Canis lupus familiaris: one gene and its partners. The protein of the gene in region 5 purifies or fractionates together with the protein of the main gene of each other region. This does not show direct contact. Links are inferred from orthologs where the notes say so. Each region holds a gene or a part of one and is shown on either strand. Other genes may lie near its edges. The genes, in order: NCK2, ARHGEF6, GIT2, GIT1 and PAK2.

Region 1 (5,345 bases), on a different chromosome or scaffold from region 5:
CTTACGTCACGTGAGACCGATTCAATCTGATGTCCTGCCAGAAATGATAAGCTGTGGCGGCTGGATAAGAAAATCTCAGCATTCAGATTTCAGATGTAGTTAATACCCAGGTCTGGTGTGCTAGCCCCAGCAGGTCTAAGGCAGCCGCCAACTCTGTGACTTGCTGACACCGTGAGGGGTCTGGTTTCTACCACCAGGATGCTTCTCCTGTGTCTAAGAAGAACAGATCACAGCTGCCTTTCTCTCAGAAGAGCAAAAACATTTCTTGTGGCCTGGAATTGCTCTCAGATCAGTCTGCAAGAGTCTTGAATATGCACTTATTGTGGTATCAACCTTCCCAGAGGATACCAATTATGGTACAGATCACATATTTACCAGTCTTACAGTATGCATTTAAAAAATTAAACTGAAACCTGCCAGAACCAATACAACGTAACCACCATGGATTCTATCTGCAGAAGTCATGTTTTTTTTTGGGGGGGTGGGGGGGGGGGTGGGGTGGGGATCTTATTATATGGAAGGCATATCTGCAAAGAGATCAACAAAATCCATAACGTACTCATGAAAAGGTTACCGTGCGTGACAACCGGCTCAGTTCTTCCAGACAGGCTCAGCATACCCAAAAATTCAAACCCCCAATCCGCCTATCCCTGGAAAAGGATCTGCTGCAAGTCAGGCGGCCTCATACCTCTGATGCAGTTCACACACACACAAACTCATCTCTTTCAAGCCCTGTCTTTTTCTTTTCGATTCCGTTCCTAAGTGCTTTAAAAGCTTCTTGGAGATGAACTCCCTGATGCCGCCTGCGGTCGCCGTGCCCTTAGGATCGTCTGGTTTCAAAAGAAAAACAAACCGACCAACAAAAGGCTGTGTCAGAAACCAGGTGCCCCTCCCGCTGTGACCAGGAGACATGCCTGGGACCTAGAGAGGAAACAAAGTCAACCAGCAGGGCCTGGGTTGCGGGAAGTGGGGTCACTCACAGAATGGGAAACCTGGAGAGAAACTGATGTCGGAGTGTGCAGAAGAACATCGAGGGGAGAATCTCAGGAGAGCGGCACGACCGCCTTCGGCAGCTGCAGGGCCATTCTACCTGCCGTCCCCCCTGCCAGATAGGTCCCCGGGTGGGTTTCTACACCCACGGGGGACTGCAGTCCATCACGGTCCGTTGCAGCAACCCCAAGCAGGCTTGCGGGCCGTGGGATTCCCCTAGCTGACCTGGAGCCGCAAATACGTGGGGCTCTATGTGAACAGGAGCTGCAAGCATCCTCCGGCTACTCGCCGTGCGCGTGGAGAGGGATCGGAGAAGAGCAGCGCGCCTGCCCTTGCACCCCTCCCCCCCCCCCCCACTCGCACACACGCACCCACGCAGCCCGGCAGGGCCCGGCCCCCGGCGCCTCCGGCAGGCACTCACCGAAGACTCGCTGTCCCGAATGAGGAAGTCGCCCTCCACGCCCCGCTCGTTGAGCGCGCACTCGGCCTGGTGCCGGGTCACGTTGCCGTAGTACCACTCGCGGCCCGCGAAGCGTCCGCTGCACGCGGGGCCCGCGTAGCTGATCTGCGGCGCGTGGGCGGGGTGCAGGGCCGGCCCGTCGCTCAGGACCACCACGTAGTTTTTGGGGACCAGGCCGACCTGCCCCCGGGCGTTTTTGCACTTCCACCACTCGGGGTCGTTCTCGGGCTTCTCGATCACCTCCATGGTCTCACCCTTCTCGAAGTTGAGCTCCTCCTCGGTGACCGAGCTGAACGGGTAGAGCGTCTGCACCACGTGCAGCACCCGGGCGCCCTGGCCGTTGCTCAGGGACGCGCCCTTCCGCAGGCTCAGGAACCTGGGGGACTCGGCGGCCGCTTCGTCCATCTCCTCCAGGACGTAGTTGGAGGGAAACCAGCCGATCTGCCCGTTGTAGCTGCCTCGCCACCAGCCGTCGCTGCACTTCTCCATGACGGTGACGCGCGACCCCTTCACCAGGGACAGCTCGTCCTCCCTCTCGGCCACGTAGGCGAACTTGACGAAGGCGGGGATGTTGAGGTCGTAGATGCGGTCGGCGCCGCCCCCGTTGGCCGGGAACTCGGCGTCCGTGCTGGGCGTCGGGGACGCGTCGCGCGCGCTCGTCTTCCTCTTGGTCTTGCCGAGGCCTGCGGAGACACAGCGGGGCTGAGCGCTCAGGGCCGCCGCCCCGCCCCCGCCCCCCCCCCCCCCACTGCCAGGGCACCGGCGCCCCCCAGGGTGGTACTCCCGAGGGCTGCCGCGCCCTCGGAGAGGAGGGCACGGGAGGGCTCAGCCCGGAGGTCTTCCGCCTGCTTGCAGGGGCGGGCGGACGGCCTGCTGGACTCAGACCTGTCCAAGGCCAGCCCGGGGCACAGGTCAGAGCTGCGTGCCTGGGCCACTCGGGGGACACCCGCGACCCTCCGCTGGCTACAAACCAACACCCTCCCCTCCTTTATTCTCTTCCTGCGCTGCTTCTGTCCTTCCAAAACGGGGGAGGGGGGGGCCTGAGCGCTCACTTCCCACACGTTGCAATGAGCCAATTGGAAGCAATCAGCTGATCTGTTAGGTCTAAGGCAGAATTTCTTGTATTGTGCCTCAAAACCCATTAGTGGATCATAAAATCAATTTACTGGGTTGTGACCATCTTTGTGTGTGTGTGTGTGTGTGTGTGTGTGTGTGTGTTGTTCTGGTTTTATTTAAGTTAGTAAGATAGAAAAACCTCCCAAGTGCATCAAGCATAGTGTGTTGCTTCAGTTATGTAAGGGAGCCAGTGCTGAGCTGCAGTGTGAAACTTATCTCTTCCTGTGTGTGGGGAAACCAGCGTGAAAAGCCCTAAGGTAAAAATGTTGCAGCCTGGGTGGAATGCAGAGGATTCTGGAGCCTTCTTGAGAGGGGAGCCTACGGAGAAGGCACATCAGCGCTCAGAGCTGTGGTGTGCCACTAGACCAGTAGGGCGGGCCATGCTCCCCAGCTTTTCCTGAGATGGCTGCCTGCCCACCAGCTCCACACAAGCTCCTAACTTGGTCAGTGTGCAGGCTTTGATGGTACGGAGACGCCATTTGCAGATTCCCCACCCTTGCAAAATGACACCAAAGCACTTTTATGGTAGCTTATTTTATTTCTTCAACTAAAATACCTCTCTCTCATTTTATTTCTTCAAATGGAGTAAAGACAGAATGATCCCAAGAATTACCTTTGCTTCTACTCCTTTGTTGAGGGGGCCAGGAGTTCAAGGGGAACAAAACATTGCCTTGTGATCATCCTCTACTGTGGAGTGCTGTGCACTGCCTTCTAGAGCAGACCCATCCCTGGCCTAAGACTCTGCTCCCCTTGGATACATGCCCAGCTCAGCACCACCAGTGTGGCTCCGCACACTAAAAGGCACTTGGATAGCAGACATGAGGGGACAGCACACGGGTGTGAAGTGACTGTTCACAAGGTCTTCAAGTGAACATACCAATTCTTCAAATGAATGGCTTCTGTGTGTGTGTTTTTTTTTATACACATTTTATTCAAGCATATAGGAAATAGGAAAGTAAACCAGGATACTAAACCAAGTTAAAATTTTAGACTTCTTACAAGTTAACTCACTTTACATGAAAACACAAACCTCTAAATCTTTGAACGAATCCTTTCATGCGATTTCAAGCCTACGTTAGTTTAGCTATGCGTGAGAGAGCTAGCTCACTAGCTTCAGAATCCAGGTGATTCACTAGCTTCAGAATCCAGAAGGCAGACCGTACATGAAAATACACTTCTGTCCTGAAGGCTCAGGCACCAGGGTATTCTAAGCCTCATCAAGGAGTCGGCATGCTAACGCAACAGGCAGAGGACAATTTCTACTTGTAACAAGACTTCAAGAAATAACACAAATAACTTTTTAAAAAGATTTATTTATTTTAGGAGACAGAAGGCACGTGCGAGAGGAGGGGCAGAGGGAGATAATCTTTAAAGCTGACTCCCTGCTTAGCATGGAACCCAGTGTGGGGGCTCCATCTCATAACCCTGAGATCATGACCTGAGCCAAAACCAAGAGTCAGACGCTTAACCCACTGAGCCCCTTAGGTACTCCTACAAATAACCTTCTAATAGACCTTTTCAAGTTTGTGAGTAACGAAAGGTACTTGAGAAAATACCTACAGAAGGGCAGGATTTAGACTACTCATGGGCACAGAAAGATGTCAAGATCAGCAGAATAGACAGTAGACCTTAGACCTCATAAAACTTTGTTGAAGACATTTCACAACTGACTTACGAATAGGCCACTTTGCTGACTCTTCAAGAACAAAATTACATTAGCCACTGAGTTTTTACACCAGGCACTTTTCTAGACTTTGGGGGAGACCAAGAAAAACAAGATAGGCACACTCCTTGCCTGTATGGAACTTAAATTTCTCTGTCAAGACTGGAACATTCCACATAGCAACCACACCACAGAAAATTCACCTGTTTTGCTTGAATGGGATCCAAATAGTCTTTGAGGCAACTCTGTAAAGGGAGGGGGTCATGGAATACAGCAGAACAACTGAATCCCAAGGAGGCCACTCATTAGCTATATGCTCTTGGGCAAGTTACTCAATTTGCGTCTTAGCTCTCTTACCCATAAAATGTGGACAACTGTGGCACTGTATCAGTGTGCTAGGGCTGCCAGGACAAAGTACCATAAACTTCAGGGCTTCAACAACAGAAATTTATATTCTCATAGTCCTGGGGGCTGGAAGTAAAAAAAGATCAAGGTGTGGGCAGGGCTGGTCCCTCCTGAGGCCTCCCTCACTAGCTGGCACATGGCTACCTTCTTGCTGTGTCTTCACACGGGCTTCCTTTCATTGTAGGTCTGTGTCCTAATTTCCTCTTCTTATAGGACATCAGTCACATTGGATTAAGACCCACCCTAAAGACCTCATTGTAACTCAATTACCTCTTTAAAGGGACCTTTACCACGTCCAGTCACACACTGACTTTCTGGGGGTTAAGACTTCGACATACGCATTCTAGGGGACATAATTCAGATTGTAATATAAAACAGGAAGCACTCTATGAATAACTATTACTACTCTGTCGAAGTCAGGCCTTTGAATTTCTTTTTTCTCAGACAGGTATTTTACCAGGAGAGGGCCAAAGTCCTTTCAACAGTCTTGGCAACAATGTTACCAGTGCCAGATGGCCACCAAAATAGAAAGCTTGCCTGTCAAGCTTTTGGCACCTGAGAAACATTATTCCAAGGGAGCAATGTCACATGTAGCTGCTGATGCAGTGAAATTCAAGAGACAGGTGTCTGGGAAGAGGAAGGAACTTGACTGTACTGACATTCATGTGATCTGAACACAACAGTCCTGTGACAAAGTGAGCACCTCCCTAT
Region 2 (5,998 bases), on a different chromosome or scaffold from region 5:
ATGAGATAGGTGCTGCTATTATTCTCATTTTATAGGTGGGGAGACTGAGGCAGTCAAAGAACATGCCCAAGGTCACAAAGCTACTAATGAGAGAGAACTGAGCTTTGAACCCAAGCAACCTAGCATTGGAGTCTATCATCAACCCACTACCAATACTTTTTCACAAATTATACTGCTAAAACAGGTCTACACTTCTTATGCCCCTGGTTCTTAGCTGAGCACGGTACATACATTATCTCATAGAACTTTTTCAGGTTGAAGCTCCTTCCTCTAAATTATTATATAGTATCTCATGTGACCTTAAAACAACCCCATGAGGTAGCAATTGTTGTGTCCATTTTACAGATCAAAACACTGAGGCAAATAGCCAAAGAAAACAAAAACATGAATTAAAAAAATATGTAGGGCCGCATGGGTGGCCCAGTGGTTTAGAGCCTGCCTTCGGCCGGGGGCATGATCCTAGAGTCCCGGGATCGAGTCCCGCATCAGGCTCCCTGCATGGAGCCTGCTTCTCCCTCTGCCTGTGTCTCTGCTTCTCTCTCTCTCTCTCTCTCTCTCTCTCTCTCTCCTCTCTGTGTGTATGTGTGTATGTCTCATGAATAAATAAATAAAATCCTTAAAAAATATGCATCTGTATGGTTATTAAAGCATTATTTGCAATAGCTAAGATATGGAAGCCACCCAAGCATCCATTCAGAGATGAACAGACACAAATATGGTATACATGCACTCAATCATATAAAAAAAATGAATGAAATCTTGCCATTTGGGACAACATGGATGGGGTATTATGCTAAGTGAAGTAAGTCAGACAAAGAAAGGCCATTACCATACCATTTCACTCATGTGTGGAATCTAAAAAACAAAACAAAATGAAATAGAAACAGACTCATAGAAACAGAACACACTGGTGGTTGCCAGAAAGAAGGGGACTGAGAGGATGGATGAAATAGATGAAGGCGACTAATAGGCACAAACCTCCAATGTTACAATAAGTAAGTCATGGGGATGACAAATAAAACAGAGGGAATACAGTCAATAATATTGTAGGGTCGCCTGGGTGGCTCAGTTGGTTAGGTGGCCGACCCTTGATTTTGGCTCAGGTCATGATCTCCAAGTCCTGGCATCAAGCCTCGTGTCCAACCCCACCCACACAAAGCCCCGCAGTGGGCTCCACATTTGGAGGAGAGTCTGCTTCAGGATTCTCTCTCTCCCCTGCCCCTCCCCCACGCATTCTATAAATAAATAAATAAATAAATAAATAAATAAATAAATAAATAAATCTTTAAAGAATAATATTGAAGTAACATTGTATGGTGACAAATGGTAGCTACACTTACTATGGTGGGCACTGTGTAATGTATAGAATGTTGAATCACACATTGTACATCTAAAACTAATATAATATTAGTTAATATTAATATCAACTAATATTAATATCAATATAACTATACTTCCATTTTAAAAACCTACAATCTTTTTTAAATGAATGTATAAGACTTCAGCATCATTTGAATGTACTATAATTTATTTGACTATTCTCCCATTGCTAGTTATGGATGTTGTTTCCATGATTTTGCTTCTGCAAATAAAGATGTAATACACACACACACACACACACACACACACACACACACTGAGGAACAAAGAAGTTACATAATTGGACACTCAGACAAAAGTATCACCTCCTTTGCAGCAATACCCCCAAATATACTGTAAGGATCTATATGATATAAAATAGTGCAATGTAAGTTAATATACAATTTCTACCACAGGGCCAGGCTCTCTTGGCTTTTCATGGCCTCTGTTCTAAAGTGTTAATAGGAAAAAAGTGACAGTATACTTTCATCTCTTCCCAACTCGGAGGGGGGGGATTACTATGACCCCCTAGAGCGGCCAATGGCCTGCTTTTGGTTCCTCCCAGGAGGGAGGCACATTACACAGCCTTTGTCACTGGAAGCCTGCTTTCAGGGCACGGATGCTGTATTAAAAAATAGCATATTCTGAGTTTTGATTTTGTTTTGTTTCATTTTGTTTTGGAACTGGTTTCTGGAAAAGACAAACTAACCAGCCACCACTGGAGACCACCAATCTTAACCATGATCTCCATAAAATGCTACCCCTGTGTAACAGTCAGAAACAACCCAGTACTTTTAGTACAACACCATTTTCACTAGCAAGGCAAGGCATCCCGGGTGGGCTTACCTCCACTTGAAGGGCTGCACATCCTTTCAGGAAGTCACTGATGTTGTTGAGGCAGTCAGCTTCGGTTTGGGGCTCCAAACAGTACTAGAAAAACATAGCCAAATGTCACTTGAACCCTGTTATCGCATGCCAAGCATACACCATAGTCCTCATTTTCTGATAACTAGATAGGTAAGCTTTTTAAGGCAGGGGCCACATTGCTGTCAATCCAGGAAGAGAAATAACCACTGGAGGAAGTGATGTAAAAGTCTAAACGGTCGGTCTGTTTCAAATGTCACCAAACTTCCAGTCCCAAACCACCTATCTCTACTGACAAACTATTTTTTAGCCTTCAGCCAAAGTGCGGAGACAGCAAATTAGATCCAGGCTGTGTTTTGACCTTGGTTCTTGCTTTTAAGTTATTTTCTTGCTCCCTCCTCCCCATGATAATTTATTAACACTCTATCCTCCCATTTACTGTTTGTTACATTTGGTTACAGTTCTGCATGTTGCACTACCACTTCAGCACTGTTTTTCAAGTTTCAGAGAAATTATAAGTAAACCAATTTGCTCAATAAAAATACCAACCAGTACAAGAAGGCAAAAGCACTCACGTTATGCTCATAGTCACGTCCCCTGCTAACCTTAAGAAAGCTGTAGGATTCAACCTTTAAACTTAAAGTGCCTACTTTAGAAATTATCTATCCTTGTGAATATGGATTTCCAACATTAAAACTTTTGGCTTTTTAAAAGAGAGTAAGGTTAGTTTCACTTTGAACACATGTTGCATACAAAACATATATCTGGTTTCTATTGTTTTAACAAACCTTTTCTGACATTTTGGATTATTTCTTCTGGTTGCCTCTGTTTCAAAGGATATTTTATTTCTTTGAGAAGCAAATCAACATTGATTTTAGTCAAACTGTCAATAAACACCATCAATATCTATTATAAATCATCCCGTTATTACACCAATTCATATATACCCCAAGTTCAAAATATGCCCTTGGTACACAGAGAGTAATAACACATATCTCTATGACAGAGCAAATGATACGAGTATTTTCTCCTTGTCCCCTGGCACCAACATTGTATCATGATTTTACTATATTTGGGGGCCAAGTGCTAACGGATAACCTTTCATTTTCTGAGCTTTTCAAGCTACAAAAACAAGACAGAATGCCAAACTCCTAGGAAGAGATTCAAGTGGCAGAGTCCCATGATCCAGGCAACAGAACATCTCAAGGGTTACATTATTGCTGCTCTCTGGTGGTAAGCAATCCTAAAGAGAATGCCCATTTCCCTTACCTTTTCTAGAGAGCCAGGCCTAAGTCTGTTGATCAGTTTGCACAGCACTACCCCATTTTTCAGCGAGGACTTCAAGAACTCCTCTGGATCACAGATGGTCTTTTTGGGGGAATCTAAAACTCCCAAGGATATAAGCCATGTCACGATTCGCTCTTCTGGATTCATCGCTGAGGACTGTATGCTCTGCACAGCTCCCCAGGGCAGCTGCAAGGACTAAGCCACATCCGTAATTGCATCTGCTACTGCCTTCCGTTTTTATAAGTTCTCTTCTGGGGCTTGCAGAGCAAAGCGTTTCAACGACTTTCTTAGATAACGCGACCCCACTCCAATTACAGGATCTTAAAGCCACAGAGATCACACTTAAAAGATGTAGAAATAGAAAGAATAAAAATCTTTGGATAATGCTGGATTTTGTTTTCCAAGCCTGCAAAGCTAACTTACCAGGGTTAAAAAAAAAAGAAGAAGAAACACACATAAACACAGCCCCCCCCCCCAAAAAAAAAACCCAACAGTGCAAGAAGCTGTAAGGGAAGGAAGTGAGGAGGATGCTGGGGAGGGAGGAGAGAGAATGAAGCAAGTGCTCTTGGAAAACACAGGGGACTTTGGCAATGAGACACTCATGGGCCAGTCTGGGGAAACACTGTCAATAAATAGTCTAGCCCCAGTGAAAATCTGGCTGCTGTCAGGAGGAAGATGCCAACTGGCTCTTAGGTCACATAGATCTGAGGCTCATGAAGAAGGTAGGCTGAGAAAATTCTTCCAAGAAATGGCCGGATGTCCTCATACTGTCTCACAGAGATGGTGTGTCATGATCATCCCTTGTAAAACACGTTGAATTGCATGGTGATAACGTGCCAAGCAAATGAAGACGGTGCCTGCTGTCAGCCATCACTGTGTACAAGCAGAAGCTAGAAGAATGGCATTTTACTTTGCAGCCAAAAAGCTATGTTTAGGGAAATAGGCTAAGGATAACATCTGACATCCTGTTTACTTGCATTCTTTAGCAATTCTTTTTCTGGACCTGGTTCCACTACACAATCCAGCTGCAGTACCCCTAGCAAAGGCTCTGACACAGTCCTATGAGAGGGTATAAAACACTTGAAAACAGAACTTTTGAGAACAAAAGAGCACTTGTCCTCTGTCTATACTATAGTCTGGAAAGTTGATGCTTCCCCAACAAGAAACACTTTGCGTTAAAAATGGTGCTCTAGGGGCGCCTGGGTGGCTCAGTTGGTTAAGCATCTGCCTTCAGCTCGGGTCATGATCCCAGGGTCCTGGGATTGAGCCCCATGTCGGGCTCCCTGCTCAGTGGGGAGTCTGCTTCTCCGTCCCTCTCCCCACCCACCCCCCACTTGTACTCTCTCTTGCTGTCTCTCTCTCTTTCTCAAATAAATAAATAAAATCCTTTTTTAAAAATGCTGCTCTGAAAAAAAACAAACCTGGTCTAAAACAAGAGATCTTTTCACAACCAGTTGAAATAGTCATACTATTGGGAAACTTGTAAGAAGACCAATGAGAACAGCATAGCCTTAAACTGGCAAATGCATGCTCCTCCCCATCAGTCACTGCCCCTCCTCAAGTAGGGGATCCTGCTAAGCTTCCGAATCCTTCTCAACACAGCTCTAGACATCTACTACCAAATGATCAGCTTAGATAATCCTGCTAAATGTTTTCAAAGCTTCCTCTTCTTGCCATGTTCCTAACACTTATCACGTTACTATTTACTTGTTGATATGTCTCCTCCACCAGAATGTAACCTCCCTAGAGTAGACGTCTTGTTTGTTTTGTTTAACACTGTTCCCAGCAGGATCAGGTACATAGTAGATATTCTACAATGCTGAATGAGGGGTATCTGAGTAGCTCAATTGGTTGTCTGCCTTTGGCTCAGGTCATGATCCTGGGGTCCTGAGATAGAGCCTAGGGTCAGGCTCCCTGCTCAGTCAGGAGTCTGCTTCTCTTTCTCCCTCCATCCCTCCCCCTTCTCCCTCTCCCCTCTCCCTGCTCCTGCTCTCTCTCAAATAAATAAAATCTTTTTTAAAAAATGCTGAAGGAGGGATCCCTGGGTGGCTCAGCGGTTTAACGCCTGCCTTTGGCCCAGGGCGTGATCCTGGAGTCCCTGGATCGAGACCCACGTCGGGCTCCCTGCATGGAGCCTGCTTCTCCCTCTGCCTGTGTCTCTGCCCCTCTCTCTGTGTGTCTCTCATGAATAAATAAATAAAATCTTTAAAGATAAATAAAATTAAAAATGCTGGAGGAATGCATGAATGAACGAATAAACTCTTATGTCTTAAAACAAAAATTTTTCCTTGCTGATTTCTTTTACTGAAATATAATTGATGCATATTATTATGCACCTATTTAAGATGACCAATTTAATTAAATTTGACATATACACCTGCAATACAATCAAACACAATGCAAGTAAAACTTTCCATCACCCCCAAAGATGTCCCTTCTTCCCTACCTTCCCTTCCAATCTGCTTTCAGCCCCTGCAGATTAGTTCAC
Region 3 (5,345 bases), on a different chromosome or scaffold from region 5:
TGTGACTTCTTAGAATAATCAACCTTTTGTGTGAGGTAAATTGTCAAAGTCTACTTTGATTCCCACCTCTATAAACTGTTTTCATAGTCTGAACTACCCCCTCTCCTTTCCTAATTTACATAACAGAATACTTAATAAGGAAACGGAGGACTTATGGGACATATAAAGAATCATTTCATTTAATGAGGTAGAAAATAAAACCAATAAATGATCTAGAGTAGAGGTTCTCAAAAATTAACTAGTGCGCTTTAAAAAAACATGTAGATATCCAGGCCCCAACCGTGGGAATTCTGAATCAGGACAGGACGAGTGTGAATGTCAATTTTGAAGAAGGTCCTTTCCTTAGGGGTTCCTGATGCAGCCAGTCTGATTCCAGATGAGAGTTTAGTAACCACTTCAAGGTCTGTAATTCAGGGAGAGACAGACCAACAGAATGCACAGCTCACACTTGTAGCTAGGTTTACCTGCTTAACTTCAATTTCTATAAGAGAAAACATGAGGTTTGTCTTTCTTAACTCACCAAGTAAATACTTAAGCTGCTTGAAATCCTTTTAGCAACCAGGCATATAAATAAATTATTACACAGAGAGACTATTTTATATGCAAGATACACATGAGGAAACTCCAAAGTAAGTGACATTTAAGTATCATGTACTGAGGGTTCTCTTCCTCTTAAAAGCTGAAGTCTCGTTTCTGCCACTTTCTTTTCCCACCTTTCAAGACACTACAAAATATTCCTCTGACCTACCACACGTTTGATTTCTGAGATACGGATCTCTTTCCCTCATTCTTTTTAAATAGCTGTGAAATCAGGAAGTATACTACAATTGATGGTACATCATCATTTAATCAGCTAAGTTGTTCTTAAGTGGTAGGTGACATAATGACGACCCATATAGTCAGTGGAGTCTCAGATCTAGGAAATACTATATTCCTCAATACCCAAGTTCTTATTATTCCTAGACACACTCTGCTCCATCCAGTAAACTCCTCTGCTGTGCTGAAAATGCCCTGTCCATCCCTCCCTCCTGAACGTAAACTCAATCCTTCTCTTTCACTTGGAATGTCTTAGCTTCTCCTTCACACACCCAAATCCAACCCATTTTTTAAAGACCAACTAAAGAAGTTTCTTACTAACTTAGGTCAAAACGAAGAAACCCTACATATGCCTTTTAAGACCAGTTATCCATTTTGGCAATGAATTCCACATTATCTTGCCTCCTTTAACTCTTTCATGTATTTATGAATCATCTCCTCCATGAGATAATAAATTCTGGGAAGGCACAATTTTGGCATTTCACCCATTTTATCCTCTGCAGAACAGTAGAATGCTTTGCAGTTGATAAAAAATTAATTTGGAAAAAGAAAGATGAGCCATCTTCTACCATTTAAATGATATTCAAGGCTAACATGGATTTTTTTATTTTTCCAGCATTTCACAAAGTTTTTAAAACAAGAAGAAACTTAAGGAATTTTATTGCAAGCACCCAGACATCTGCTACCTAAAACCTATAATTAACATTTTACTATTACTTGTTTAATCGCCTACCTATCTATATAGCTCTGTTTTTTAAGTTCAAGCAATGACTAAACATATTAAGAAACTGAGGAGTGGGTTTTGCAATTCTTGATACTTGCTTTGGACTATGGCTCAAATACCATTGCATTAGAAGTCATTTGAAAGACTGGAAGCTAAGCACACTGGAAGCTAAGCACATTAGCTAAGCTAATGGTTCTATCTCCTCCAACTCTGCCAGGCTCTGAGCTCTTATGTATTTGAAATGCTTTCATCTGTAAAATAATGGGAGATGTATATCCTTAACTTAAAGGGGTTAAATGTTAATCATACACAATTTAGCCACCAACAATGAATAATACCCAACATAAATAATCCCTAACCAAAGATGCAGTGACAAGAAATCTAGGTCTCTCACCTTGCATAATCCACAGGAGTTTTTCCACTAGAATCCTGTGTGCCTGGGTCTGCTCCATATACTGCCAATAATTCTGCCTGTAAAATCTGCCCTGCTTTGGAGGCAACGTGGAGTGGGGTGTTTCCTTTTTCCTGAGAAATATTAATAAAAAGTAGATTAACAAGCAAATTAAATAAAACTAAAGGCTACAACAAACACAACCCACTTAGTTTCAATTTAGTATCTGAATCAATTCATGCTTTTCTCACAGGGTGAAAGAAGTTGGCTTGTGCTCCTAAAGATAACAGCCTCAAACAGGTTTCAAGATTCCCTGTTCTCACGCTTGAATGAAGTTGCTGAAAAACACACAAATCAAAAAAGTATTTGTTAAAAGTGTAAAGAATGGTATACTATAGCAGCTGGCAGATCATTTTAATATACATTATATTAGTGATAATCAGTTATTTAGCTCAGTAAGCCTCTCCCTTGCTGGTCACAACCACTCCAGAGCTCTAAGGTGGGGCCAGGTCCATTTTACTGATAAGGAAATAAGGATGGGAAGGCTGATTTGCCCAAATGCACAATCTAAGTGGTACAATCAGACCTGAAGTGAAAGGGGGTATGAGAAGATAGGTGAACACAGCTCTGAAGTCTCAAAGACCTGAAGTTAAAACCATATACCCTTCAAGTTGTGTGACCTTGTGGAAGTTCTTTAAACAATCTGAACCTTAGTTTTCTCAGCTCTAAAATGGTGAAAACAATGCCACTTATTCAAGGATTACTGTAAGGAGTCAATGATATAACAAAATGCTCAGCATGGAGCCTGGTATACAGGAAACACTCAAAGAATACAACTGCTGTTATTATAATCATTATTATTTGTTGTTGTTATTTAACCTAGGGCTTTAGGGCTGCGTACCCCATGCTGTAAACTACTGGATTCTGCTTTATAGCACACCCTCTTCATAACAACATTCTTGGCCTTGTATATAATACTTTAACAAAATCTTTCAGGCTGGGAAATAGGCCTGGTGTATACCAAATTCTGTACCACTGCAGAAAAGCTCTTAAACATGCAGAAGATTAGCTGCTTTTTTCAAGTCTAACCTAGAATTGTCTAAAATGCAATAACCCTTATTATAAAAATGCAGAAGTCTACTCCAGCATCTATATCCACACCTTATTTTTACAATTAATGTATTTAATATTCTTAAGTTGTGGTAAAAACCCCATGCCAAGCTTATTAACGGAAGTAACAGTTATATATGTTTTCTATGCAAAGTTTAAAATTCCTTTTTTTTTTTTTGCAAAGTTTAAAATTCTGATTGCAAGTGTCCAAGCTCTGTGCGAACATTTCCTAAAAGCAGTGCTTTGAAAATAAAAATGCATGTTTCTCATGGCATCTCTCAAAATCATGCAAAGGCCCACATAAAGAAAACCATCTACTCATTTTACAAGTATAATAAAGAATCATAAGCACTACAGCTTTCAGTCATCCTGCTTCCTGAAGATCCTACTCAGTATGCAACCCAGAAACCTAAAGAGGTCCCTCGAACTTTCTAGTCCCTTCTAGAAACAAACTCAAGGGATGGTTCCTATTTTAAAGTTAAATGAAAAACTTTTAGGGATACAATTTTAGGGGTGTCTGGGTGGCTCAGTTGGTTAAGCGTCTGTCTTCGGCTCAGGTCATGATCCCAGGGTCCTGGGATCAATTCAGTGGGGAGTCTGCTTCTCCCTCTCCCTCTCTCTCTGCCCCTCCACCTGCTCGTGCTCACCTTCCCTCTCTTTTTTAAAAAAGATTTTAATTATTTGAGATAAAGATTTTATTTATTTATTTGAGAGACAGAGAGATAGTGAAAGAGAGAACATGAGCAGTCGGGAGAGGGAGAAGCAGGTTCCCTGCGGGGTTCAATCAGAGGATCCTGGGGGCCATATCCTGAATTGAAGGTAGGTGCTCAACCAACTGAGCCACCCAGGTGCCTCAAGAAATATAATTTCAAAACCATTTCTGAAAAACATAAATAATTTTCTAGATACATACTTATTTTTCCTTGTACCTCCTTGTACCTCCACTAACATAGAATGGCTGCCATTTGAACTAAAATTAAAGATGTAACCAACTGCAAAAAAGGTTGTTATTAATTATTTAGAGTACAGAAAGTTTCTGTTTTGTTTTTCTTTTCTTCCTCTTTAAGTTTTTTTCAAACAAAACAATATATCATTTGATCCAGCAGTTTTAGGGATTTTAAAAAGTGTGACCCACCTTGCTAAGATCTTTGGCAGTCATACTGTCATCATCCCGGCAAGGCAAGCGATGGACAAATGCTAACATCTGATATTTGGCTCTGATGAATTCTGCTTTATTAGGACTGATTACCACCCAGAAAAAAAAGAAAGAAAGAAAGCTGCTTACTTGCAGTTCAGATGCAACATTTCCCATTCTTTAGGCCGTAAAAAGAAAAGGAAGTGACCCATATCCCCTACTAGAGAAGAAAATGAATGACACTGAAATAAGTTCCAGCAGGAGTTTAAGACCTGAAGTCTCAAAACATCAATTAGTCATTCTAAAGGCCAGGACTGCAGAATACTTGCTTTTTAGAGCTTCTCTCTTTGTAATTTTCTTAACTGACCTACAGCCTTGTGAGGAAGCAGCATTGTATCCCATCCTATAGGTGAGGCATCAGGCAGACCAGAGCCCAGAATGGAGATTTTTGGTCTGATTGCCTCTTGTTTGAGCACCTAAGCTTAAATCAGATTACATTAACAGTCTCTGAGCATTAGTGTCAAACTGGAGAAGCCACTGACTTGTGCTGTACAACCATGCAAAAGAGATGGTCCTGTGCCTGGCCTTGTTCTGCATTCCTAAGAGCAGAGAGCTCAACGCACAATTGGGGTGTAACCACCTCCTGTGCTGCCCTTGTGGGGGCTGGTCCAAAGTAGCTGCACTCCTTTTAGTGGGCCCCAAGTGTTATGAAGAAATAAAAGTATTTATAAACATTCCACTCACTGTACTTTATCCTGTGGATTAGCTTTACGTCTTCCGCTCATAATAGAGGCAGGGTCCAGCAAAGAATGTTCCCATATAGAATTAGCACCATTATTATACAAAGTTTCAACCATCTAAAAACCAAGCAGTATAAAATCATATTTTAATTTCTTTCCACAAATATTCACTGGAAATTACAGTGACTGAACTGGGAAAACCAAGACCCACTGCACGGCGAGGATGTCTTACAAATCATTGCTTTCTGATTCTAGAATGAGAAAGATGAACCTATATGCAGGATTCAGGTCTGACCAGGAAGATGGCTAAGTACCTAAAAGAGTTTGATTAGATTATTCTTACAGATTATGAAGGAAGAGCACTCTGACACTTTGGGGTAAGCCTGATTATCCAAATACTATTTTCAAGATTCTTAACCCATGTACTGT
Region 4 (6,106 bases), on a different chromosome or scaffold from region 5:
AGGCAAGAGTAATCCATGGAAATAAAGGTCAGAATGGCAGTTACCTTTGGGGGGTGTTGACTGGGAGGGGGCAGAGGAAAGGCCCAGAGAGCAATAGAAATGCTTTACCTTCAGATGGGAGTGGCTACTATGCAGGAGGTAAACAGCTAAAAAAAAAAAAGCATCCATCTGGCTCAATAAGGTGCAGGAACTTTGCTATGTATAAGTTAAACCTCAATAAAAGAGAAAAAAGCCCCCCCCCCCCCCGCATTCACTCCTCCCCAAACCCACCATCTACATTATGAAGAGACAAATGAGCCTGCAGGTTTCCAAATGTCCCCTAGCCAGTAGCCATCCTTGCTCACCCAAGTGCCTGGCACCCTGAGGTTCCACTCCCATGACCTGGGCTGCCCAGGTGGAAAAGCTGAGATGGAGAACCATGGGATAAGGAGCAGGCCCCTGAGCTGGATCAGGACTGTGAGCAGCGAGTGGAGGGGAAGGAAAGGGGGGGGAGACACATTCTCCGGGGTTCCTTGACTCCTGCCCTCTCTTGGACACCCACAGCAGACAGGTACACATATGGTGCCTGATGACATTGCGCAGATGCTATAGCAGCCATGCTATGTCCAGCCGCCTTACAAAATACACTTGTCACTTGTATGCCCATGCCTGGAAGCAGAGGGAGGACGAGGACCTTTGCAGTCAGCCTGTATCTCACCTTTCACCTCTATGGTCTCCTCAAATTAACCAACCACAAAAAGGCCACAGCCCCACTTCTAGGGCTGGAACCCCATTCATAGTGAGAGAAGCCTATGACTGGGTAGGAGGCATGTGCCTATATCCCAACTGTTGATCACCCTCAAGCCTTGTTGTACCTGGGCTGCTATAGTTCCCACACTGAGAATGCCACTCCTTGGGTCCCACAGAGATTGGGTCCTATGGTGGGGAATGGGGGAGCCCCAAGTAGCCAGCTGGGGTCCTGATAAGCATCTAAACACTCAGGGAGGCTCGACATGTGCTAGACACCATGCCAGGTGCTGGGGTAGGGTGATGTGTAAGACTTTGCCAGCACCCTGCCTATCTCACCATCCTTACCCCCTGCCTATTCCTGACATGTATTCTGGGTCAGGGGAAAAGGAGGTACCTGGGGCACGAGCAATCCAAGACATCAGATACACATCACTCCTCCCCAAACCCATTAGGCATCCATAGGTTTCAGACTGTCAAATCCAGTGGAGAAAGGAGAACTACCTTGCTGATTCTGTCCTATGTCCCTTTGGCTGAGAATGAGAACCACAGACTTGAAGATGGGATGGTCTTCAAAAACCATTTCTACTCCCAATTTCTTTGCTTCACAATTGAGAAAACTGAGGAAGAGCCCTGCCATGGGTCACAGAGTAAGCTGACAGAAGCACCCTCCCCCCAGTCCTTCTGGACCTTCCACCCTCACCCCTATGCTATGCCCGCCTTGCAGAGGTTTACACAACAGTCTGGGACACCCACAGAAGGCAAGCTCTCCTCCTCTTGGCCCTTCCATCCTCAGACCTGCATGCGGCTAGAAGAAGATCACCGTTTCCAGCTCATTAGGATAAGGATATGTAAGCCCAGATAGCTTCTTGAAGGCCCTCTAGATCATGACACGCCCTGAGAGAAGTCCCAGGGTCGCAACCACCCACGGAGTACCATGCCTCTGCCAGGCATCCACAGTCACCAAACACTTGAGCTTGGAGCCATCGGAACCACTGGAGTATCTGTGGTTCTCAACCTGTTGGGGTCTTAGGCCTGTCCTAAGGGTGGCTCAAAGTTATGGGTGCATGGAACAGCACCTCACACTCTCATGTTTAATTATGCCCACAGTCCCCCTGGAATTCAGAGACACCCTGAGCCTGCCCAGAGGTCTCCTAGGGAGTTAGCTTCTTTATTTTAAGGAGAGGATGGACAAAAGCCACGGCTTCCTTCCCCAGGCCAACTGCTGAGCCCCATCACTGGCACGGTCCTCCCACATCAGAAGGTAGCAGCCACTCAGGTCACCACTCCTCACTTCCTCAGCTGGTCAGGGGGGTTTCACATCAGCCTGGACCTGACTGTGCCGGGGAGAAGGAAAACACCAGGGTAAATACAGCCAGGAGGCTGGCCAGGAAGCCAGCGATATCCTGGGTACTACTGCTCCTTCCCCACTTCTGGCCAGACTGGGCTACACAGGGCTAGGAGGGGTCTGTGCCCAAGCTGGGACAATGCTAAGCCCACCTGACGGGGTTAAGCAGACCTTACTGGGGCATAAGAATAGCTGAGTCTAGTGGCTCCCAGGCACCAGGCAGCCTGGGGATGCCTGAGAGAAAGATGCCCAGGCTGTACTGGCCCTCAACACCAGGCCCTGCAAGTAGCCCCGGCCTTGGGAACCAGGGGCAGGCAGTCCTCGGAGTAGCTACCGCCTCTCCACCCCCCCCCCGCCCCCATCTGCTCCCAAAGAAACACTACCCCAGCCTCCCCTGGCCCATCTGCCCAGCTTTCTGCCCCTTGACCTCCGCCACCTCAGCGGGCGCCCAGACCATGCGAGCAGCAGGTGCAAGACGCGGGGGTGGCACCGAGCTGACACGAAACCCCACTCGCCCCCACCTCCTGAACCTTGCGGGCCTCCGCCACAGCCCTCCTGCCACCCCAGGCTGGCGCTTCCGTCGGGAGGTAGAGATGGGGGCGGGGGGCAGCCAGCCGCCTGCCTCCCTCAGACTCCGGGGTGGCGCCGGCAATGTCCTTCCCCGCCCGTCCGCGGACGCGAGGGCACCGGGGCCCCCCAGCCGGCCCTCCCGCCAAGGACGCGGCTCCGCAGTGGCCCGGGCGGGGGCCGAGGCCGCAGCCCCCAGCCCCGCGCCCCGCCCTCCGGCCCCGCACGGCGCTCTCGCCAGGCCCGGCGCCCGCCCGGCGGCCTCGCAGCGCGGTCGCGGTCGCAGTCGCGGTCGCGGTCCCGCCCCCGGCCCGGCCTTGCTCACCCGGGGCGCTGCAGTCCGCACACACCTCCGCCCGCGGCCCCTTCCGGGACATCCTCAGCGGCGACGCGGCCGCAGCCCTCTGGGCCAGCGTGGGGGGCGCGGGCGGCGGGCCCGGGCGGCGGCTGCCTCTGCTGCCCGGCCCGGCTCCGGCAAGGCCCCGGCTAGGCTCCGCGCGCCCGGCCAACCGTCCGCCCCCGGGGCTGGCCCGGAACCCGCCGTGCCCGCCTGCCCGCTCGCCCTCCGGCGCCCTCCGCCCCGCGCCGCCCCGCGCCGCCCTGCCGCCGCTCGCTCTCTCCGCCCCCTGCGCGGCTCCGGGCCGCTCCTGCAGGAAGCGGCGCAGGCCCTGCCCACCGGGGGAGGGGCAGCCCGCAACCCGCCCCGCCGCCGGGCCCTGCGGGCCGCGCCTCCCGGAGAAAGGAAGCCGGGAGCGCGGGCGGGAGGGGGCGGGGGTGCTTAAAGGGGCCGCGGCCGCCGCGCTGCAGGCCCTAGAGGGCAGCGTCGCCTGCGCGCCGGGCCTCGCCTCCCTCGCTCTCCGGCCCCGCGGCTGTGTGAGTTCCCCGCGCAGCCCTCTCCTCTTCGCTTTCCAGGTGGAGGGTAGCCCGAGGGGCTCAGGCCCGGGGACGGTGACCCTTGGGGGACCCGGGAAGAGAGGAAGGAGCTAGAGGCCCAGGCCCCCTTCCTCGTCAGAGCGCTGTGGTTTGGGGTGCCCGCCTCTGTGTGGCTGAGGCGAGGTGTGCGACCTGGCCCCCCATATATCCACATCTGTGTGTCCAGGTGTGTGTGGTCACACCCTTGCTGCTTACGCACAAAGCCAACAATATGGACGCCCAGGTGTACCCCTGCCTCCCAGCTAAAAATACATCTATACCTCATCCATGCTGCCGTCCCGAGAGGAAAGAATCTGGGCAGTTTTTAAAGGCCTCCCGAGGGGTGACCACTGTGCCTGTGGGCAGTAATATCCACTCTGCATTCGTCTTGTATACCTCCACGGTGTTTCTGGGCCACTGCAGGTTTGTGTGTCCAGGGCGTGTGCATATAACATACAGGGACCTTTTCTTATGGTGGCCTTTCTTCCTAGACTTCACACGGAGACGGCAATGGGGGGGGGGGGGGACAGGAAGCGGAGGCGCAGGCGGCACGTGGGTGCACCCCTGCACTGAGCATGCTCCCCCATACACGTGTGCCCCGCGTGCACCCAGCCCCCATCCCTGCAGCAGCAAAATGCCAGAGCGCTTTGCTTCTGGGGCCAGGGCCCGGGTGGCCAGGACCAGGCCTGGGGGCCAGGTCAGTGGTGACCGGAATTAAGGGAAGATTCCCAAGGGGCAGGGAGCCCTTCTCAGTAACAAGGGGGAGAAGGGGAGTCCTTGGGCAGGGGTTTGGGAGTTGGTCGATTTTATCCCAGCGGTGCCAGAACAGCAGTGGCTTGTGGGTGGGCAGGCTGCTTCCCTGGGGGAGACAAGTAATGCTCATGAGTCACACCACCCGAAATACAAGCAAAGCTGCCTCTATCGCCTTTTGCTGCAGCCCAGATTGACAAGTTTGTTTGAAATCGCGATCCACGGGGTATATTTATAATCGCACCTTTAAGAAAAATCTTTTTGCAGGCCTCTCCTCCCCCCACAGCCAGCCGCTCAGCTGGCGGGGCTTCTGCAAGCGAAGGTACCTCGCGGTGGGGGAGCACCACCTGCCGCACGGTGCCGCACCCACACCGAGAAGCCAGTCTGTGGGCTTGGTAGCCCCAGGCTGGACGACGTAATGGAGCGGCCTGGCCGCTCTTCCCGGCGCCCCCCACCCCCACCCCCAGGAGCGGTGGCCGCCCATTCACCCCCGATCGACCCACAGCTATGGAATTTCATTTATTAAATGTCGAGGCGGCTACTGGCAGCTCCATCGCTTGGCTGTCTTTGTTTCTCTGCTGTGTGGGCGCGTCTCGAGCACGTGGCAGCTGGAGGGCGCAGACCCGAGGAAAGGCGACCTGGGTTTGGTCTAGGGCCGCCTGGCAAAGAGACCCGGCTGCTAAGGGCATAGGTCCCCCAATCCTGGCCGAGCTCCCCGTCTCCCAGAACTCCCAACACTTTTCAGGGGAAGAATGATTCACCCCGTCGCCCCCTCCCGCCCGCCAGCTCTACCTCCGGGCTGGCCCGGGGACTACCTGGGAGTGGCCCAGGCAAGAAGCCACACTCTAAACTTTGTTCCGGAAGACCCCAGCCCCGCCACTGCGGAGCTTCTGGGCCCGAGACTAGGGATAAAAGGGTTCCAGGATCTCCCTCTGGAGACGTCTCCACCTCAGGAAGCAAGACAGTAGAAAAAGAAATATGAGACAAGGTTCTATAAACAATTTAATGAGGAAACAAACGTACAGGCATTCTTCTGGCCACTCCTAGCCGTCCCTCCCCCGCCCCAGCCCCTTCCCCAACTCCGGCTGCAGCCACAACACTCTGCTGACCCCTCGTGGTGGAGGTGGGCAGCGGTTCCCGGTTGCCCGAGACGCCGCCAGCTGGCTCCTCCCAGGCTGGAGAAAGGGGCGAGGCAGTCCATTCCTCCTTTATCCTTTCCCGCCTGGGCCTGGCACCGCAGGGTGTGGAGGAGGAAGGAGAGAAGACCACACAAAGAAACCTGAGAGAGGCGCGGAGAGTTTGCAAGCTTTTGCTAGCACCTCCCACACAAACATTTCTTGGATTGTTCTAAGTAGGGCTGGTATGGAATCCCTAATTCCTGTCCTGTTCTAAGGTGGACTCAGGAAGGCACAGTGCCCGGTCCTGCCACCTGTCTCGGTCCACCCGGTTGCGGGCGGGATGCGCTGTTTCTCAGGGCAGTTACTATCCTTAGCTCACCCCAGTAGGTAGTATTTGGAGTCCGATTTCGAGGTGAGTGGTCTGAGAAGACAGAAAATGTAAGCAATTTGCCTACGGCTAGGCGGTTAGTAAGGAGGAATTCGAACTCTGGTTTGGAGGGACCGGGCCACGCCTCTAGGTGCTTCCAGTCCCCGCAATAGGCAGCCCCCGAGGTCAATTACACTTTTACTACAGCGTCTTCAGGGACGCTTCTGGAAGGATCTCTCTGCCCTGGGGTTATCAGGAAGAAGGTCTTCTCTGCAATCAGTCACTTCCTCTCCCGAGGGGACCACAACCGGGTGGAGG
Region 5 (6,071 bases):
AGGCAAAAGTGATTTTCATCCTGTTTCTTAATAATCTTCGCTACTTTCCAATTTTTCTATGAGAGATATGCATACTTTTTTTTTTTTAAGATTTTATTTATTTATTCATGAGACACAGAGAGAGAGGCAGGGACACAGACAGAGGGAGAAGCAGGCTCCCTGCAGGAGCCCGCTGCGGGACTTGATCCCAGGATCCTGGGATCACAACCTGACCCAAAGGCAGACGCTCAATCACTGAGCCGCCCAGGTGTCCCTGCATATTTTTTAAAATTTGAAAAACTTGTGTTTTATATCAGGGGCAAAACTTTTTTCCCCCTGAAAAATAATTTTTAATTTAACAGTTATGGTCTCAGAAAATTGGTCCTGAGATTCCAACCTCTCCAGAAAGCATTGTTTTTTTCTTATATACATTTTTATTGAAGCTCAATTTGCCAACATATAACATCCAGTGCTCATTCCAGAAAGCATTCTTAAATCTAAGTTTGGGGGCACAATATTTGCTACAGAAGCAATGAAGGGGCACCTGGGTGGTTTAGTGGTTGAGTGTCTACCTTCAGCTCTCTTGGTGATCATGGGGTCCTGGGATCAAGTCCCACATCCGGCTCCTCACAGGAAGCCTGCTTCTCCCTCTGCCTGTGTCTCTGCCCCTCTATGTGTCTCTCATGAATAAATAAAGCAAGCTTGGGGGGTGAAAAAAAAGGAGCAATTAAGTATAAAACCTACTTTAGAATGGAATAGTAACTAAGCACTGCATTTGCAAAAAAAATTTACCTGCATTATCTCATTTGCTTTTAAATAGCCCCATGAAATTTGTATTATTATTATTATTATTATTATTATTATTATCATCATCAATCCCCCTTTAACAGAAGAAAACCAAGTCTTGAAAAGAGTACATGTCTTACCCAGGGTAAAGTAGAGAGTAATGATTCAAACCCAGGTCCCCAGCACCTAACCATTTGAGACACATGGAATGGTAAGTACTATTGTACCTCGGAGATAATAATAGGCTAGAACTCTGAAATCCTACATGAATGTTCAGAAGGACTATCCTTAAGTAGGTTAGTGATCCTAAAATGAAGAACTAGTGAAAATTCTGATCACAGAAGGAAACAATCAGTATTTTCTTCAGGGCAAGGGGGGCTATTTTTCCTTCTCTTTCGGTTTCTACCCAGGTACAAGGATACAAGTGACAACTCAGATTCGTAAGTAACTTACCCACCTTCTGACTAGTCTGGAATTAGCCCTCTAACTAACTGGAAGGGCCTTTGAAAACAAACTGATCAGAATCCTGAAGCCTTAAAGCACTGAACAGGGCTTAGTTTCAAGCTTAAATGAAAAGGAGAAATTTCAATAAGTCAAAGAAACATTATACTCGAATAGCAGAATAATCGATATTGACAGAAGAAACATAGGGAGGATTTTAAAGTGCCTACTTACTTTATTTGAACAAGTTCTCTTTATTAAAAAGTATAATCGAAAGTTTATCCTTAGCTACCTGAGCCAGTTCTACTCTTTTTTTTTTTTTTTAAGTATATATAATTAAGAAGAAATACACACCACTGTTAACCATGCCTATTTGGAAAACTGCCTATCATAAAGATCAGAGAACCACAGGAACCCCCCTATTCATTTGTTTAGCAGATACACCCCCAGTACAAACTTATTGTTCCTTTATGATTTGGGGTTTGCAAGGTTACTATTAAGTGTCACAAAGTCCAAAAGAATAACTCTTTTTGAATAATGGTAAACCACGAATCAAATCCCTATGTGAAGAGGAATATCCAGTAACTCTTCCTTGGTAAAAGTACCCCCTTGTTGAAGAACCGGCAGAGAAACTGACATCAACAGACCGAATTTCACACTCCCAACATTTCCATACCTTAGCCCCTGTGGCACACAACACCTCTCAAGTTAAGGAGAAATGACACCGTCAAATGCTAACAGTATTACATACAGCTCAGTACTCAGTCACTTAGGGAAAGTTGGGAGGATCCAGTGAAAACAAAATTCCCTGAATGTAGATCAACCTCTTTACCAAACCCTGCAGTGGGCTTAGGGTCTACATATATCACAGCTCAAAAACATTTTAACATTCATTTTTCATACGGGAAGTCAGTATTCTTGGCTAAGCGATAGCTAGAAAGGCCTAAAAGCCAAGGATGAAAGAGCTGCCTTAAATCAAGACCCCATATTAACAGAACACGAACAAAGCTTTCAAATTCATAGGTCTACGCCTATATAGATTTTCCGCATATACATAAAAGTCATTTAGAAGTTACGGGACGCCTGGGTGGCTCAGCGGTTGAGTGTCACCAGCCTTTGGCTCGGGGCGTGATCCCGGGGTCCTGGGATCGAGTCCCATATGGGGCTCTTTGCGTGGAGGCTGCTTCTCCTTCTGCCTCTCTCTCTGTCATGAATAAATAAAAATCTTTAATTAAAAAGAAAGAAAGAAAGAAAGAAAAAGTTAAGTGTGTGTTTTAGAAAGGCCACAGAGCTTCTGGCAAAGTCGACAAGTTCTAACCTGCTTTAAGAATCACTACTCAGGGCAGCCCGGGGTGGCTCGGCGGTTTAGCGCCGCCTTCAGCCCAGGGCGTGACCCCGGGGTCCTGGGATCGGGTCTCACGTCGGGCTCCCTTCTCCCTCAGCGTTGGTCTCTGCCCCTCTCTGTGGGTCTCTCATGAATAAATAAGTAAAATCTTAAAAAAAAAAAAAAAAAAAAAAGACTACTCACTGTCTTCACCCCAATCTAATTTCATTGAACGTAATTCTCCCGGGTGACCCCACGAAAACAAAACCCCCGAGCAGATCCTCGCACACCTCCACATCCTGCCTCCTTCTAAGGGCGGAAGAGCCCGACAGAGCAGGGGAAGAAACGTGACGCGCACAACCTCGGTCCAAAACACCGCTCGCCGTGGTCTAATTTTAGGCCTAACCGTTCCGATGCGTTTTCGCCAAAGAGGCTAAAAAGAAAACGAGTGCAGGTAACGCGCGGAGGGGAACCCGAGCAGCCACACCGACGGGAGCGGGCAGGACCCGCCGAGGCGGAAAGCGACGGCGCGGCGGGCGGCGGGGAGCGGCGGGCTGAGGCCAAGGCGCGAGGAGGGCGCAGCCCCGCGCCGCCCGCCCGCCCGCCCGCCGCGGGGGCGACTGCAGCTGAGGGACGCGGTCAAAAGGTCGCGCCCGCCGACGGCCCCGCGGCCACGTCGCGGGCGTGCGGTGGTGTTTTGGAGGCAGCCACGCGCGGGGAAGGGCCAACCTTGACCCAGATCACCGGGAGCCGCTGAGGATCCGGGGGCTCGGGAGGCCGGCGAGGCCCGCACGCGCTCCGACACCGAGGCGTCCGCACCGACGCGCACTCGCCGAGGCCTGAGGGGGACGCGGAGGTGCGCGGCGGCGGGAGGGCGCCCGCGAGCGGGCAGGGCCGGCGCCAGAGGAGCCGGGCCGCGCCTGCCCAGCGAGCTTCCCCCGCCGGCTGCCGCCGAGCGAAACCGCCCTCGGGAGCGGACAATGAGCCGCCGCCCCAGGCCCGCGGCTCCGGGCGCGCAGGTGGCGGCCGCCGGCAGGCCGCGGAGGACGGGGAGCGCGCCCCGGCCGCCCTGCACTTACCCGGGCGCCGAGAGGTCCCCGCCCCAGCGAGGCGCCGCGTCCCAACTCCCGGCGGGCTCCGGAGCCGCCCCGGGCAAGCGCCGGCGCGGGGCGGGCGGGGAGGCCAGGCGGCGCAGGAGCGCGGCCGCGGCGAGCGTAGGCCGGGCGGCAGCCGAGCCCCCGGGCGCCGGGCGGGGAGGCAGAGAGCCTTCGGCAATGGCGACGGGCCGGGCCGGAGGGGAAGCGGAACAGCCGCCGCCGCCGCGCGTGGCCAGGCCTGGGGGAGGGCGCCGGCGGGGCGGGGGCGGGGCCAGGACACCGCCCCTCGCCGGCCGGGCCCTGAGCTCCAGGGGCGGAGACCCGCCCCCCGCGGCCGGGGGCTCGCGCGGGGGCTGCCGGGAGTTGTAGTTCGGACGCGCAGCCCGCTCGCCTCGCTTTCCCTCGCGCTCTTTTTTTCTTCTTGGCGGCGGAGGGCGTGGCGGGGGGGGGCGGTGTTCTTTGAATTGAAAAAGAGAATCATGCCCCTCGTTTAATTTAGCGTTGTCTCCATTCTAGTCTGCGCCAAAGACGCTGACCCACACACTGCTATGTGAATCTGTTTCAGGACTCTTATTTCTGGAAATTCATCCCTTATCCATTTTGCATTTTATTTACAAGCTCTTACTATGTTTTGCTGCTAAAATCCCACCTCCTTGAAAATTAAGGCCTTCATTTTTTTTTTTTAAGAATTTATTTATTCATGACAGACACAAAGAGAGGCAGAGACACAAGCAGAGGGAGAAGCAGGCTCCATGCAGGGAGCACGACGTGGGACTCGATCCCGGGACTCCAGGACCACGCCCTGGGCCGAAAGCAGCGCCAAACCAGCTGAGCCACCCGGGCTGCCCGGCCTTCATGTTTTATCGAAGGAGGAGTTCATTAATGTATTCACTAATTCTACAAACACTTGAGCATCTAAAACGTATGATATTAAGGCATCAAGGATACAGGGTGAACATGAGTCACTTTGCCTTTGTAGAGCTTAGAAATATGCAAGCACAATAATTAAACTAATGATATCTGGTATGAGAAGATAACTAGGGAGATTATTTTGGATTGGGCGGCCAGAGAAATAATCTTTAGGGAGGCAACATTTAAGCTGAGAACAGGAGAGAGACAGGAGACACTCCTAGGAGATAGCATTACAGACAGAAGGAAGAAGAAAAGGGCTTGCTTGCTATGATCAGTTAAGACGAACTGTGAAGCTTGAGCTCGGTGCAAGAGTAGTGTACTGTGAAAAAACACTAGAGTAGACAAGATTCAGGTCAAGGAGGATCTTGAATGCCATGCTAACGAGTTTGGACTATTACAGCGTTTCAAGCAGGAAAGTGAAGTTATCTGACTTATACTTTAAGATCAATAGATTGCTTGGTGGAAAATGTAGTATACAGATGCAAGAATAGAAGGGAAATGAACTAGAAAGGCAGTAGTCATGACTGATACTAAGGAGATAGTGGACATGGAGAAAGGTAGCTAGATTGTGCTTATCTATAGATGTAGAATAAAAACCCAATTGATGCAGAGAGAAAGGAATCAAAGACTAATATGGCACATTATTAATTAGATAACCTGAAAAGCAGTCCCATTACTAAACACACTGAAATACTGGATAAAATAGAACATCCTTTCAAAAGTCATAACTATAAGCTCTCAAGAAAGAAAGAGAGAAAGAAGAGAACGAAGAGGAAGGAAGGAAGGAAGGAAGGAAGGAAGGAAGGAAGGAAGGAAGGAAGGAAGGAAGGAAGGAAGGAAGGAAAAGGAAAGGAAAGGAAAAAAGAAAAGAAAAGAAAGACCGACCTCTGATAGTCTTCCAAATTTCACTCAACCCAAAGAGGCAGCATGAAACCTGAGTGGTAAGCAGGATACTGAAGCTATGGTTGTGCTGAGGGTATGTACCTATCTTAGAAATTTCTGTGATTTTACTGGCTGCACGGAAGACAAGGCCTTGGGCCTATTCAAGGCTGGGAAACCCATAGGGCTATACCCTCCTAGATGGGGGATAAAGAAAAAATCCCCTGTACTAGCCCAAACATTAGTCTGTTTTAGTCTAGACTTGGCATGGAGAGGGAAACAATGTCCCTTTAGAATTCATAACCACAAGCTTTCACCCACATGGGTTTTAAAGTTCAAATTTATAGTACCTACACTGTCCAGGAAACCTCAAGTCAAGAACGTGGTCTTAGGCTGGTAGTACTTGGTGGCCTGGAGGAAACAAATACAAATCCTCCCTGCACAGGTTCACTCAACCCAGGACTAAAAGGATTTCCAAAAGTAAACAGGATTTCAAAATCTAAATATAAGCACTCAAAATGTAATTATAGTATACCTGAGGAAATAAGTCACCATGAATGAATCAATACAAATCACAACCAAATTAATGAAGTTTGTGAACTTTAGATAATGGAATTATCAGCTATAGAATATAAAATAGGTTGATTAAATGA

What was found.
Region 1: the proteins of PAK2 (region 5) and NCK2 purify together in Homo sapiens (affinity purification with mass spectrometry; 3 studies listed by BioGRID and IntAct, counting the BioPlex papers as one, with this or other methods). This does not show direct contact. The link is inferred for Canis lupus familiaris from reciprocal best matches to the Homo sapiens genes PAK2 and NCK2.
Region 2: the proteins of PAK2 (region 5) and ARHGEF6 purify together in Homo sapiens (affinity purification with mass spectrometry; 3 studies listed by BioGRID and IntAct, counting the BioPlex papers as one, with this or other methods). This does not show direct contact. The link is inferred for Canis lupus familiaris from reciprocal best matches to the Homo sapiens genes PAK2 and ARHGEF6.
Region 3: the proteins of PAK2 (region 5) and GIT2 purify together in Homo sapiens (affinity purification with mass spectrometry; 3 studies listed by BioGRID and IntAct, with this or other methods). This does not show direct contact. The link is inferred for Canis lupus familiaris from reciprocal best matches to the Homo sapiens genes PAK2 and GIT2.
Region 4: the proteins of PAK2 (region 5) and GIT1 purify together in Homo sapiens (affinity purification with mass spectrometry; 5 studies listed by BioGRID and IntAct, with this or other methods). This does not show direct contact. The link is inferred for Canis lupus familiaris from reciprocal best matches to the Homo sapiens genes PAK2 and GIT1.

The regions. Positions count from the first base shown.
Region 1 is NC_049231.1:38,653,546-38,658,890, forward strand, and holds part of NCK2 (cytoplasmic protein NCK2), read right to left. Parts: intron 2,134-5,345; coding exon 1,412-2,133; intron 1-1,411. UniProt on the Homo sapiens protein: Adapter protein which associates with tyrosine-phosphorylated growth factor receptors or their cellular substrates. Maintains low levels of EIF2S1 phosphorylation by promoting its dephosphorylation by PP1.
Region 2 is NC_049260.1:108,083,207-108,089,204, forward strand, and holds the start of ARHGEF6 (rho guanine nucleotide exchange factor 6), read right to left. Parts: upstream 3,940-5,998; 5' UTR 3,658-3,939; coding exon 3,493-3,657; intron 2,290-3,492; coding exon 2,206-2,289; intron 1-2,205. UniProt on the Homo sapiens protein: Acts as a RAC1 guanine nucleotide exchange factor (GEF).
Region 3 is NC_049247.1:17,528,277-17,533,621, reverse strand, and holds part of GIT2 (ARF GTPase-activating protein GIT2), read right to left. Parts: intron 5,034-5,345; coding exon 4,921-5,033; intron 4,283-4,920; coding exon 4,177-4,282; intron 2,270-4,176; coding exon 2,183-2,269; intron 2,066-2,182; coding exon 1,935-2,065; intron 1-1,934. UniProt on the Homo sapiens protein: GTPase-activating protein for ADP ribosylation factor family members, including ARF1.
Region 4 is NC_049230.1:43,660,493-43,666,598, forward strand, and holds the start of GIT1 (ARF GTPase-activating protein GIT1), read right to left. Parts: upstream 4,047-6,106; 5' UTR 4,002-4,046; coding exon 3,950-4,001; coding exon of another isoform or gene 3,786-3,949; exon of another isoform or gene 3,464-3,785; intron 3,097-3,463; exon of another isoform or gene 3,019-3,096; coding exon of another isoform or gene 2,967-3,018; intron 1-2,966. Other genes in the region: uncharacterized protein LOC119876655, read left to right, coding at 3,786-3,976, 4,571-4,829. UniProt on the Homo sapiens protein: GTPase-activating protein for ADP ribosylation factor family members, including ARF1.
Region 5 is NC_049254.1:30,471,162-30,477,232, reverse strand, and holds the start of PAK2 (serine/threonine-protein kinase PAK 2), read right to left. Parts: upstream 3,717-6,071; 5' UTR 3,610-3,716; intron 1-3,609. UniProt on the Homo sapiens protein: Serine/threonine protein kinase that plays a role in a variety of different signaling pathways including cytoskeleton regulation, cell motility, cell cycle progression, apoptosis or proliferation.